Linked DNA regions of Cricetulus griseus. The protein of the gene in region 1 interacts with the protein of each later gene in a pairwise test. Links are inferred from orthologs where the notes say so. Each region holds a gene or a part of one and is shown on either strand. Other genes may lie near its edges.

What was found.
Region 2: the proteins of Lmtk2 (region 1) and Myo6 interact in a two-hybrid assay, tested with the Homo sapiens proteins (2 studies listed by BioGRID). The link is inferred for Cricetulus griseus from reciprocal best matches to the Homo sapiens genes LMTK2 and MYO6.

Annotation. Positions count from the first base shown.
Region 1 is NC_048597.1:80,615,783-80,622,032, forward strand, and holds part of Lmtk2 (serine/threonine-protein kinase LMTK2), read left to right. Parts: intron 1-2,760; coding exon 2,761-2,893; intron 2,894-3,268; coding exon 3,269-3,508; intron 3,509-4,805; coding exon 4,806-4,834; 3' UTR 4,835-6,250. UniProt on the Homo sapiens protein: Phosphorylates PPP1C, phosphorylase b and CFTR.
Region 2 is NC_048597.1:191,155,602-191,161,851, reverse strand, and holds part of Myo6 (unconventional myosin-VI), read right to left. Parts: intron 4,903-6,250; coding exon 4,797-4,902; intron 2,336-4,796; coding exon 2,280-2,335; intron 1,841-2,279; coding exon 1,743-1,840; intron 1,036-1,742; coding exon 871-1,035; intron 1-870. UniProt on the Homo sapiens protein: Myosins are actin-based motor molecules with ATPase activity. Unconventional myosins serve in intracellular movements. Myosin 6 is a reverse-direction motor protein that moves towards the minus-end of actin filaments.

The DNA.
Region 1 (6,250 bases):
AAGATTATAGGTGTTTGCTGCCATGCCTGGCAAATACGGCAGCCCAGGCTCTAAACTCACATCCCTCTGCCTATGTGTCAGGCACTTTATGGACCTAACCATCTTCCCAGGACCTAACCCCTCCTGAAAGTCAGTTTTCAATAGTGTGCTTAGATTTAGGTGTGCTGTTTGATTCTGCTCTTCTGATTCAGTTTGCTTCCTTCCTTAGGAATACTGTTGTCAGTTGTGTGTTTCTCTGTGGTGGGTGTTAGTGTGTCCTTTCTGTTACACATTGGGGCAGTTCAGGGATTTCATCACGTATACTACCTTTTGGGTCAGCTTGGAATCAGCATTTCCTTCTGGGTACTGGGTCCCTCCTGCCTGACGTTGTTGTGTTATTTATATCCACATCCATTGAAAAGCCTCATCAGGACCTGGGGATGTAGCACAGTGGTAGAACACTTGCTTAGCATGTATGAAGCCTTGGCCACCATGACCAAAAAAAGAAAAAAAAAGAAAGAAAAAATAGTGCAATGTGTTTTACTTTCAATCATCAAACATTTTAAGAAATTCACAAGCATGAGCTAGGGGTGAAGCTTAGTTGGTAGACTGTTTACCTAGCATGCATAAATACCAGCACCCCATAAAATGGGCATGGTGGTACACAAGCTGTAAGCCCAGCACTCAGGAGTGGAGACAGGAGGATTAGAAGCTCAAAGTTATCCTTGGCTACATAGCTAGCTGGAGGCCAGCCTGGGTTACATGAAACCCTGCCTTAGCACACACTCATGTCCACGAGCACATGCCCATGCCCACACACAGTGGGTGGCGTGCACTCAGAGGCTAGCAAGATAGCTCAGTTGTGAAAAGTGCTTGCGCCCAAGCCCAGCAACCCAAGTTCATCGTCTGGGACCTACATAGAGAAGGAGAGAACTGACTCCCACAAATTGTCCTGACCTCCACATGTTGCCATGGCATATCCCATACCCTCCAGAGAGGAAATAAATAAGTATACAAAAGCAATATGATAATTTTTGTAAAAAGAAAGAAAACAACTCAAGGCAAATGGTTTTCTATTCAACCTAAGGTCCTGTCTGCTTTTGTTCTGTCTTCAGCGCAGGTGCTTCCGGTTCCTATCTGTTGTCTTGACAGACTTAGAGAAGTTCATTCAGCTTTTCTCAGCTCCCTTTTCTCCTAAACCACTGACAAGCTTCATCGCATACTTACTCCTGGAAGATACTTTCTCAGAGCATAGATTCTGAGTTGACATCTCTTTGCTGTCAGTATTTGGTCCCACTGTTTAAACTTTTTTCACATAATCCCAGTGCTTATGACCTTTGGCACCTGTGTGGACAATTTCTGCTGTGCAGTGAGGTTGTCCTGGCTACTTGAAGGCTGGGTCACTGTAGATTTTGTGTCTTCCCATCATGCTATGGGGCATCTGTCTTTTCAGGGTGGTGCAGAGTGCTGCTATGTTTGTCTTAGGCCTTCACAGCTGGCTTCAGGCCACACGCTCCAGCCAACCTCCTATGAGCTTCGGTATTAGTACTAGTTAGTTCCTCTTTCCAGTCTGTGGCCTGGATGTACCCACTGGCCAGGCTAGAGCTTGGTGGCAACCCTGCATCCCCCACAGTCCATTGGTGTACTGTTTGGGGTCAACTCAAGGACAGAACCAGAAACTCCTCAACACTGGTTGCTTTTTTGAATTGTCCTTGGTGGTGTCCAAGTCTGCCACACAAGGAAAGAAATCATAAAACATCAGGGGTACTCTTCAGAACCAACCATCAGACTACATGGGTATGGGGTGACAGGAACAGAACAGAGACAAGGAGAGAAAGGAACCTTGGGGTTATCCTGCTCTGAGGATTAGAAGATCCCTTCTTTTCCTAGATCCAGAACCAAAGTCTTCTCCGGCAACCCTGTCCAAGCCAGGGCATTCCAAAGGCAATGTGTCTGCCGAGCAGTGTCAGTTTGGTGCCACTTTGGAGTCTGGGGCGCTTCCCTGCTGCTTGTTCATTTTCTTTTCAGAGGTTTCAGGACTGTCTCACACAACTTCTGCAGATGCTAGAGCCGCATTCAAGGGACCATATATGGCAGGACTTTGTCATACATAGTGGCACGGGCCTGTAATCCCATGATTCAGGAGGCTGAAAGGATCAAGAGATTAATGCCAGTGTGAGCTAGATAGCAATTTTGAGACCTCTCTGGGTTACAGAGTGAGATATTGTCTTTAAAAATGAAGAAAGAAGCCAAGTGGTGGCAGCAACACATTTAATCCCAGCACTCAGGAGGCAGAGGCAGGTGGATCTCTGTGACTTCAGGCCAGCCTGGTCTACAGAATGAGTTCCAGAACAGCCAGGACTACATAGAGAAACCTTATTTTGGAGAGGGGGGGGTGGGGAGAGAAAGGAAAGAGAGAAAGGGGAGGAAGGAAAGAAAAGAAAAGGGGCTGGAAAGAACTGGTCTTTAATGCACACCTTTAATCCCAACCATCTGGAAGCTAAGGGGCAGATAGATAGCTAGAGTTTGAGACCAGTCTGGTCTACATAGTGAGGCTGTGTCATAAGGGTGCTGGAGAGATGGCTCATGGGTTAAGAACAGGGCTGCCTTTGCATAGGACCTGGGTTCCCACCTCATAATCATCTGTAACTCCAAATCCTGAGGGCCTGATGCTTTCTTCCTCACATAAAGTAGATAACTCTTTAGTTCACCTCATGCGATGAGCCTGGGTGGGGTCAGATATTTGGGCTCTAAAAACTAGAATTTTGTTTGGCTTTTCAGGAAACTCCCACCAAAGAGCTGGGGCACTGCGGAGGAGAAGCGCATGGTCCTGGGCCCAGCAGCCCAACAGCATCCTCAGGCTCACCCTACCTGGGCAGGTGCATGAATTCGGAGAGCTCCACAGATGAAGAAGGTATTTGATTGTGCTGTGTTGATCAGCTGCAAAGGCAGTGGAAAGGAACATTATTCGTGGGGGTGAGGTTTTGTTTTGTTTTGTTTTGTTTTGTTTTGTTTTGTTGACAGAGTCTCACTCTGTAGACCAGGCTGGCCTGGAACATAAGAGAGGTTCCCCTATCTTTGCCTCCCAAGTTCTGGGATTAAAGATGTGTGCCACTACACCTGACTAACACTAACATTGTTGGAAAGGATCATGATTTGTTTTTAAATGACTTCCCCTGTGTCTCTGCTCTGCCATCTGTTGGCGGCTTGTGTCTGAATGCCCTGGGCTCCCTCTCCTTATCGTGAGTTGATTGCGTAAAGTGATAACAGGGTGATGCTCTTACTGCAGGTGGAGGCTTTGAATGGGATGATGACTTCTCCCCTGATCCTTTCATGTCCAAAACAACAAGTCTTCTGGGCTCTAAGCCTTCTCTTCAAAGCTCCAAATACTTTTCTCCCCCACCACCGGCAAGGAGTGCAGAGCAGAGCTGGCCACACGTGTCTCCCTGCTCCAGGTTCTCCATCTCTCCTGCCAACATTGCCAGCTTCTCTCTCACACACCTCACGGACTCAGACATTGAACAAGGAGGTGAGAGGGGCCCTTCATGTGCTGGGGGTGGGGCCACGCCAGAGGGATGGTGCTTTCAGCCAGGAGTGCTCATCTACCCTAGACCCAAAGGAATGGTGATCTGATGCTATTTTAGTCTTTCCTGAGTAGATTATAAATTTGCTTGAAAATTCTTTTTGTGGTGGGGGTGGTTCCTTGGGTATACTTAGCACATTGTTCTACCTTTGAGGTACATCCCCTCACTAGGTTATTCTAGACAGGTGCTCTACCACTGAGTTACACCCTAGCCCCCTCACTGGGGGATTCTAGGAAGGGGCTCTACCATTGAGCCACACCCCAGCCCCTTACTGCTTTACCACTAAACTTCATCCCCAGGTCACTTCTTACTCTTGGTTTTGTTTTTGAGACAAAGTCTCACCAAGTTGCTCTGCCAATCTTGTATCTAGTTTGGCCTTGAACTTTCAATATTTCTGCCTCAGATTCCCATGTAGGTGAGATAACAGGCCTGGCGTATCTCTCACAAGCTTGACAGTGCATATACAACCACACTTCCCCCATTTAGAATCACCCCCAATGCTCATTTCTGTATAACCCTGCTGGCCCAGCCCCAGAGATCTTGGAGGTCCTGGAGAGGGCTCTGTTTTCTGTCCCCTTGCTGCCAGTCCTGCTTCCTCAGGTCACACTTCTCTCCCAGAGGAGCTCCCTGCACAGGCACCTGCTCTAGGCACACTTGACCTGTGGTTTGGATTGGAGCCCAGGCTCTCTGTCTCTTCCCTGGCAGTGTTGATTTTGCCATTAAGTCTTGGTCTCCATGCGATACCAGAGGGCCAGCTGGGAGCTCACAGCAGGGGCCAATTTGAAGTAGCAATACCTGAACATATGGGCCCCTTTCCCTATACCAAGATCGGAAGATAAATGTTAATAGGTACATTTTTTATTTGAAGTTTACAGATCAAATAATAAATGTAGGATATAAAGTGCTTTTATTTGTTTACATAGTTTTCACCTGTGCCGGTGAGATAGTGCCTGTGCCTAAGGATCTCTGGGGGCAGGTGTACGGGTCAGGCTGGTTTACTTCAGTGCTCCTGAGTGTGGCCATGGAGCCACTGTGGGAGCCAAGCAGCTGTGTGTGCAGAAGCCTGCAGGCTGTGGCATGGAGAGACGGACAGGGCAGCACGGGAAGGCATGAAGCAGCCAGATACCAGCTGCAGTTCCTTTTCCTACTGTTCTGGTCTGGTCATCTCTGTGCTGTTAGTATCTGGGTATTCAGTTCTTAAAACTGACCCTCTTTGTCATGTTGCTTCTGTCTGGGAAATAGGCAGCAGTGAGGATGGAGAGAAGGATTAGACGGCTGTGGACACTCTCCCAGCCCAAGCAGCGTTCCTGCGCATCCGCCTGAGCAACAACATCAACTCCTTGGTGGCTGCACCAGACAGTGAAAGGCTCAGGAATGACGGGGAGCCGAGCCACCAGGCCAGGAAGCCAGCTCCCTCTGCAGCCCTTGCGGCACTGCTCATGCACTACAAGTGCCCTGTGCTGGGCGTCCCGTCGAGGTGGCTGCACTGCCACAGGTCTTTGGCACATGAGTGTTGGGGGACCTGTGCACCCCAGGTCATGGGTCTGCTTTCCGTGTAGGTGTCTTCCCCACCACACCTGTGCCTCTAGTTTGAGCACAGGTGCCACAAAGGGGGTTCACCAGGGGAATGGGCACAAGGCGAGCCATATTTATTGTTTGTAAGGAAATCACTAATTGCTCTCTGACTGCACTGTGGGTGAGTGTTTGAGCTCCCAATATTGTACAGCATCGTAAATTATACGAGGAAAACATGGCAGGCCAAGATGGTGCTGTCCACTGGTTTGATTTTTTTCCCTCCCTGTCTTCTCCCGTGTTTACCCTGCATGGTACTGTAAAGCTTTGATATTTTGAGTGTTGTGTCTTGAGACCTGTGGGAACTGTACACAGGTACTCTTTCCCAGGCCATGCTGACTCTGGTATTTGTGTTCTATGTTCCTAGAGGAAATATTTTTGATGAGTTCAAACTGCTGTTTAGTTTCATTGACTGCATTAAGCATGTTTCTGTATAAGGTGGATGCTCTCTGAGCAGCCTGCCCTGCCTCTTGTGTTTTTAAATCCTCTTGGTAGAAATCCAATAAGAGATGCACCCGGAACTCAGCACTCTCAGGGCCCAGGGCCATTTTCTGGTGTGGTAGGTGAGGCTCACACCACTTCCTCTCCACAGAGGCCAGCCTGCAAGAGATCTCATATGTTTTGCAGGCAGGCAGGGACCTTGAGGCCCTGAGTCCCCACAAAGAGCGGGGTGTCTGCTATGGATGCTGCTGAGAGAGCTGTTTGGAAATGTCTGGAGTTGGGGCTTCCCATTCCAGCCACAGCACCCAGGTGACAGGCAGCAGCACCCTGGACCTGCCTGTAGCTGCAAGGTGGAGGACAGGGACCCCACCAAGTCCTCCAGCAGCCCTCATGGCCTCCTGGCTGGCCTGGGGAACCCATGCATGCTGCTCCTTCTGTATCAAGCACCCAGCTCTCCTCTTGTTCTGAAAGGGATCTCGAGTCTTCAGCATAGCCTCAGCACATCACTGAAGGAATCTTGTGTCCCCAACACAAGGCTGGCCTCGCTCTGCTGCCCAGGAGTCCTGTTTTAACATAAGGAAGTGTCTCTGGCTAGTCCCATGGCAATGCCATGTTGAACAGGGACTGCACCTGTTGGGGTGGCTCTTCTTACATGGGCTGCTCATCCCAAATAC
Region 2 (6,250 bases), about 110 Mb from region 1:
TTAACATTGGCTCAGTGATCAAAGTTTCTACGGCTACACTAAAGGTAATTTTAAGGCTAGTATTACAAAACCTTATAAATTTCCAACTGGGTTTAAATAAGATTTTAAACAACTGTCCTTTTACCTACTGAATTACATGCCTTCTCATATACTATTATGCATGTTGAGAATCACTTATCTCATGTATTTTGAAAAAGTGATTCAGATTGCAGAGTTGCTTACATTTCAGAGTATTTGCATAAAGTTTCATTTTCCTGGTGAGCTCACAAATTCAAAACTACAAAGACCCAGACTTCACAGTATTTGAGATTTGGGGTTTTCATATTAGAGATACTGAACTCATGATAGACTTACAAATAAATCTCAACAGAGAGGTCGTCAGCAAGACTATAAGTCTAACACATCATCTGGTTACATCTCAGGTATCCATGGTGTCGAAGGGGAATCAATACCTTGGCCCCTTCTGGATAGTAGATACCTAAGTTTGCGAACCTTTTAAAACAGCATCACACTTGTACATGATCTGCAAACACACAGCCTGTCAAATACTTCGAATTATGTGGAAATTATTTATAATCCTTACTACAATGTAAACATTCTGCGAAGGAATATTATTCCTTGCTATTTAGTAAAAATAATACAGAACTAATACATGCTCAGTATAGATGTATTCTTTCTTATCCCCAATATTTTCAATTCATGATTAATTAAGCCTGAGATATAAAATCTGCAGATTCAGAAAGCCCACCATACTTCATTTAATGTTAGTTATATACAAATACATCTAGGTATCAAAATGCAGTGAGTTTTAGCACTGAGAGAGTAAACAATTTGCAAACCTCGTATAAAATGTGTTTTCCTTCAACCTACCCGAAAATTATCTGGAGAACTCAAGTGAAGCTTCTCCCTAATGTCTTCTGAAGCCCCAGCACACAACCTGTAAAAAATATGGTAATTCCGCTCCTCTTTGCCTTGAACACAGATCCTAGACTTCTCTAGGAGATAATGAGAAACGAATCCTCCAACAACTGAACTCTAAAAGACAAAACAGAAAATACATTTTTTGCATCTATGGAACTGAAATATAACTTAATGTTAATTCAATCTTTTCTAATAATCATTTGCTTAGCAAAGAAGTCAAAAAATTTATCAAATATTACAAAAAAAAAACTAAATGTAAGCTCAGAGTATTTCTACAGCTCATCCTTCATTTTAAACACTGTTATCATCCGGTCTCCACCCTGATCCCTTCTAGCTTTTGAGCCTCTGCAGAATCAGAACTGACTTTGTGGTCGGCCCAGTGTCCCCAGCAGCCCACTGGGCAGCTGCTGAAGAGCTGTCAGACTGCCATCAAACTCACCTCATGCTGAGAAGACACTAACTGCTCTGATGTGATCCTCACAGACTATACAGATCCACAGATATACACATCACTATGTACCATGCTGTGCCCGTGAACATGAACATTATTACATGTTATCAAAACAATGAAAGAATCAAGTATGAGAAAAAATTAACTACAACGCTATGATTGATAACGCAGTCAACTCCAATATTTTAATTTAAACTGAATAGAAATTCTGAAGTCACTGTAAATGCACACAAGCACACACACCATAATAATTACAATAATAATCATAGTAATAATCTTAGGAAGAACTGTGCTAATTCCAATTCTAATAAGACCCTTACACTTACCACAAACACTCCCCTAATGTATCCCAAAAGCAGCTTTCTTTTACCTTTTCATTGAAGTGAATTTCCACAAATTTTCCAAATCGACTGCTATTATTGTTACGAACAGTCTTTGCATTTCCAAAGGCTTCTAAAAGAGGGTTAGCTGTTGAAAAAGAAATGAAAATGCTTCACCAGAAAAATCACGAGAAAGGCATGAAGAGAAATTATAAAGCAATATACATATTACATCTCCACAGGGGAAAATTCGGGGAAAGTGATGGAATAGATGCTTTTAGAAATATTAGTATGGAAGAATTATCCAGCAATGTCAAATTCCACAAGTGTGAAATGTTAACCCGCTGTCATGGTTTTATTTTTGATTGACAAGTGGACAAGGTCTAACGTCATCTATGAGACTAGCCTCTGGCACAGAGAAAGACAATAGGTTAATAGATCAGCATGAAAGTAATATCTGAGCAAATATTTATAGGAGGTAGAAAGTCTCTTCCACCTCTGAAAGAAAAGCATTGTAGGTCTCAGATAAGATTCTTCTAAGTTAACTTTAGAGGTACCCAACATTAAAAAATAAAAATCAACAATACCTTCAACAATTCTATCATCAATATCTTGACCAGTTCCATAAGATTCTGTCAGGTATCTGTTTAAAATATAGAATTTTAAAAAACTGAATAATATTCAGGACAATATATTTATAAATTTACTATTTAACATATATATCAAACTGAAACATGGAACATGGATCATCATTGTAACTGTTTAGTATTGTTTTTAAATTTTTTTATATTTTTATTTATGCTTCTGTATGTGTCTTGTGTGGGTATGTGCAGGTCATGGAATTATATGTTTGGAAATACTCTGATTTTTAACAAATTTTCAACTAGATTTACATAAGTATCCCATTAACTATTTAACTTAATAACTCTATACACTTCCATAAGAAATAGAAACCTTCATAAAGAACCCCACCATGAAAAAACTAAGAACTGTAATAAATTAGAAACAATACTGATAATAATTCAGAATGTGCTGGTCCTAGCAGTATCTTCACCACTGGATTTAACTTCCTTTGGTATGTGTGATGATTGGCATTGATCATCAACTCCATAGGACCTAGAATGACCTAGAAGACAGGTCTATGGCCACGTCTGTGAGGGATTGATATTTGTTAGATAACTGAGGTGGGAAGACCCACCCTTAGCATGAGTGACAGCATGCCATGTACTGGGATCCCAGACCATGTGGAGAAGGTCTAACAGGCTAAGGACAGCACTCACTCATCCCTCTCTACTCCCTGACTGTGGGTGGCTTCAATGTGACCAACTCCTGCCAGCACGCCTTCTCCACCATGGTGTGTTTGAACCCTTGAACCATGAGTCAAGATGAACTCTTCCTCTCTTGATTCCTTCTTGTCTGATATTTTGTCACAGCAATGAGACAATTTACAGAATTTAAATTAAAGAATAAGACTATAGTCATGTGGCAATGCTCCTTCCACTTTAAAAAGGTTGTGGCTATACACCACGTGTTGAGAGTTTTGTATAATGGTAGAAAGGGGATCTGATGAGAGAGGGATAAGAGGAAGTCTAAATAAAAAGTAGTTTCAAATATATTTCAAAGCACCAACATTGAGAATACAATGGAGATCCATAGCCAAGCGCCAGGCCAAGCTCTGGAAATCCAATCAAAGAGAGGGAGGAGGGATTATATGAGCAAAAGGGGTCAAGAATGAGACAGGGGAACCCACAGAGACAACTCACTTAACTTCTGGGAGCTCACTGACTTTAGACTAACAGCTGGGAACCTGCATGGGACTGAACTAGGCCCTCTGCATGTGGGCGACAGTTTGGTAGCCTGGTCTGTTTGTGGGACTCCTGTCAGTGGGACCAGGATCTATCCCTGGTACATGAGCTGGCTTTTTGGATGGAATGCCTTACTCAACCTCGATGAAGGGGGGATGGTTTTTGTCCTGCATCAACTCAATGTACCAGGCTTTGTTGACTCTTCACAGGAGGCCTTACCCTTTTTCTGAGGAGTGGATGTGGGGTAGGTTGGGGGGACATAAGGAGAGGAGAGGGATGAGGGGAGAGAAGGTGAACTGTGGTTTGTATGTAAAATGAATAAAAATTTTAATTAAAGAAAGACAATAGAATGTCCATTTGGATTTTGAAAGAATATTCCTGGGTTTGTCACTGCCTATCAAGCACTAACTTCATATAGAATCCTCCAAGAAACAACACATCAGAGCCAGCTATCTACAACAGAGAGATTGACTTCCACGCTTCTTTCTTCCAAACTATTCCATACAGTATACAACAGTATTAAAAGTCAATCTGCTTAAATACCCTGTGATTACCCCTACACACACACACACACACACACACACACACACACACACACACTCAAAACTGCACTATTCACAATGGCCAAATAACAGAAACAACCCAACTGCCTATCAATACATGTACAAATACAGCAAATAAAATAAATTCCTGCAATGAAATTTATTCAGCCCTAAAATTCAGGAAGGAAATTCTAATGCATACTATAACATACTATAACACTAGTGATTATATCTTTTTAAGAGTCAGGGTCTTATAAAGTTTTTTAGGCTCCTATGCCCTTGAAACGAAAGTTATCTTCCTGACTCAATCTCCTAAGAAGCTGAGGGTGTGTGTGTGTGTGTGTGTGTGTGTGTGAATTGTGTGTGTACACACATAGGTGCATGTCACTATAACCAGCTCAAACGTGAGTGAATCCCATATTAAACTAAATGAAACAAAGAAGTCACTGAAAGACTAATACTATATGATGCTGCTTAAATAGGTACTCAGAGAAACTCATAGAAACCCAAACAGGAAGTAATATCTTATTTATGTACTATTTAATGAGTACAGCATCTGAAGGAGTAATAGTTTATTCATGTGCTTTGTACAGTTCTGGGTTTTGTGAGGTGAGGAATAGAAACAACGCAATGACATGAATGTGACGATGTGAGTGTGCTTAGCATTGCTGAACTTCAAAGTGGGCAGTCGACAAACTTAGTGGTAAAGCTTTCTTTTACTACTGCTCAGAACATTTCAGATCAGCTAAATACTCACCTTAGAACAAACTTTGTATTTTCTGTTTTGCCAGCTCCCGATTCTCCAGACACAATGATAGACTGACTCATCTTGAGCACCTTCATGTCTCGAAAAGCCTTGTCAGCTGGAGGCAAAGTAAGACAGTAATACAGCAAGCTGAGTCACTGACAAGAGTTTAGTGTAAGGGTCTTTACTCCTAAAGAAGTCATGAATGTGTGTTAAAAGTCATCCAAAGGTTTCTGTAAGCATTCACTTGCAATGTTCCTAAAAGACAAGTAATAGGAAATCCGAACATCTCAAGATTGTGCTAGAGTGTTAGATTGTCTCCACATTGACTTTGGCTCAGCTTGCCCAAATGCCAGAGCAGATCTGCAGAGGGAAAGAAAATGTTCAGTGTGCATAACTAATGAGGTCCCCAGTGAAAAACAAGAAGCAATGAGTTTCCAATGAGAAATTTGGCAACTGAATCCATTGTGAGAGAGAAAAACAACTGAAAAATAAATCTACAGAAATTATTTCCAGCTCCATCCACTTGCCTGTAAATCTTAGAGTTGCATTTTTGCTAAAGCTGAGTGAGGAAACCAAACACACAAAGATAAACATCACATGTTTTCTCTCACTTGTGAGTGTTAGCCTTGAATCTTCAGATGTGTGTGTGTGTGTGTGTGTGTCATTTGGAATAACCATAGAAGTCAAGACATAAGTAGGGGACCATTAGGAAGTGGGGCTTTCAGGGGAGGGGGAATAGGATGCAGTAACATAAAGGGGAATAATGGAACAACAATGGTTAAATGGGGTAGGAATGGGAAAGCAGAATAAAAGAGGGAGGGGAAAAGGGTGAGGAACAGAAGGGCAGGATAAAGGAGGAAATATGGGGAGAGATAACTCATGCTAAAGACTTCCTAAAAGCAGTCATGAAAATCTACTGCTGCAGAAGCTTCCTAAAATATAAACAGACCCTCTAATGGAACAACAATGTCCCCACACTCAGAAAGACAGATATCCTACATTTTCTCTCATGTAACTTGAAAGCAGAAGGGAGACTAACTTGTGAAGAGGAGGGTCCAGCAAGAAAGAACAGAGGGACAACAGAGGATAAAGAGGAGGATATGAGAAAAATGCATGACATAATTTCCTATGAAAATGTCATCATGAACTCATTTTTGCACAGCAAACACAAGCTTTAATAACTCATAAACAATATCTCACCACAAAAAAACATTTAAAAAAAATAGTTGCAAAGCAATTTGTCTCAAGAAGACATGTGCTATACATACAAAAAAAATAGCTTTACAAATGACAAATGGCTTTGGCTCTAAGAATAAGCTACAAACAATATTGCATGGGTATTCCCACCAGCCCACTGTGATGCAAAGTGATACTGCTGGAAGGCAGAGGAGCCTTTGGGAAGGAGGACCCAGTAAGAGGCCCTTGGGTGACTGGATACACACTCTGACAAGGTGGTTTCTCAC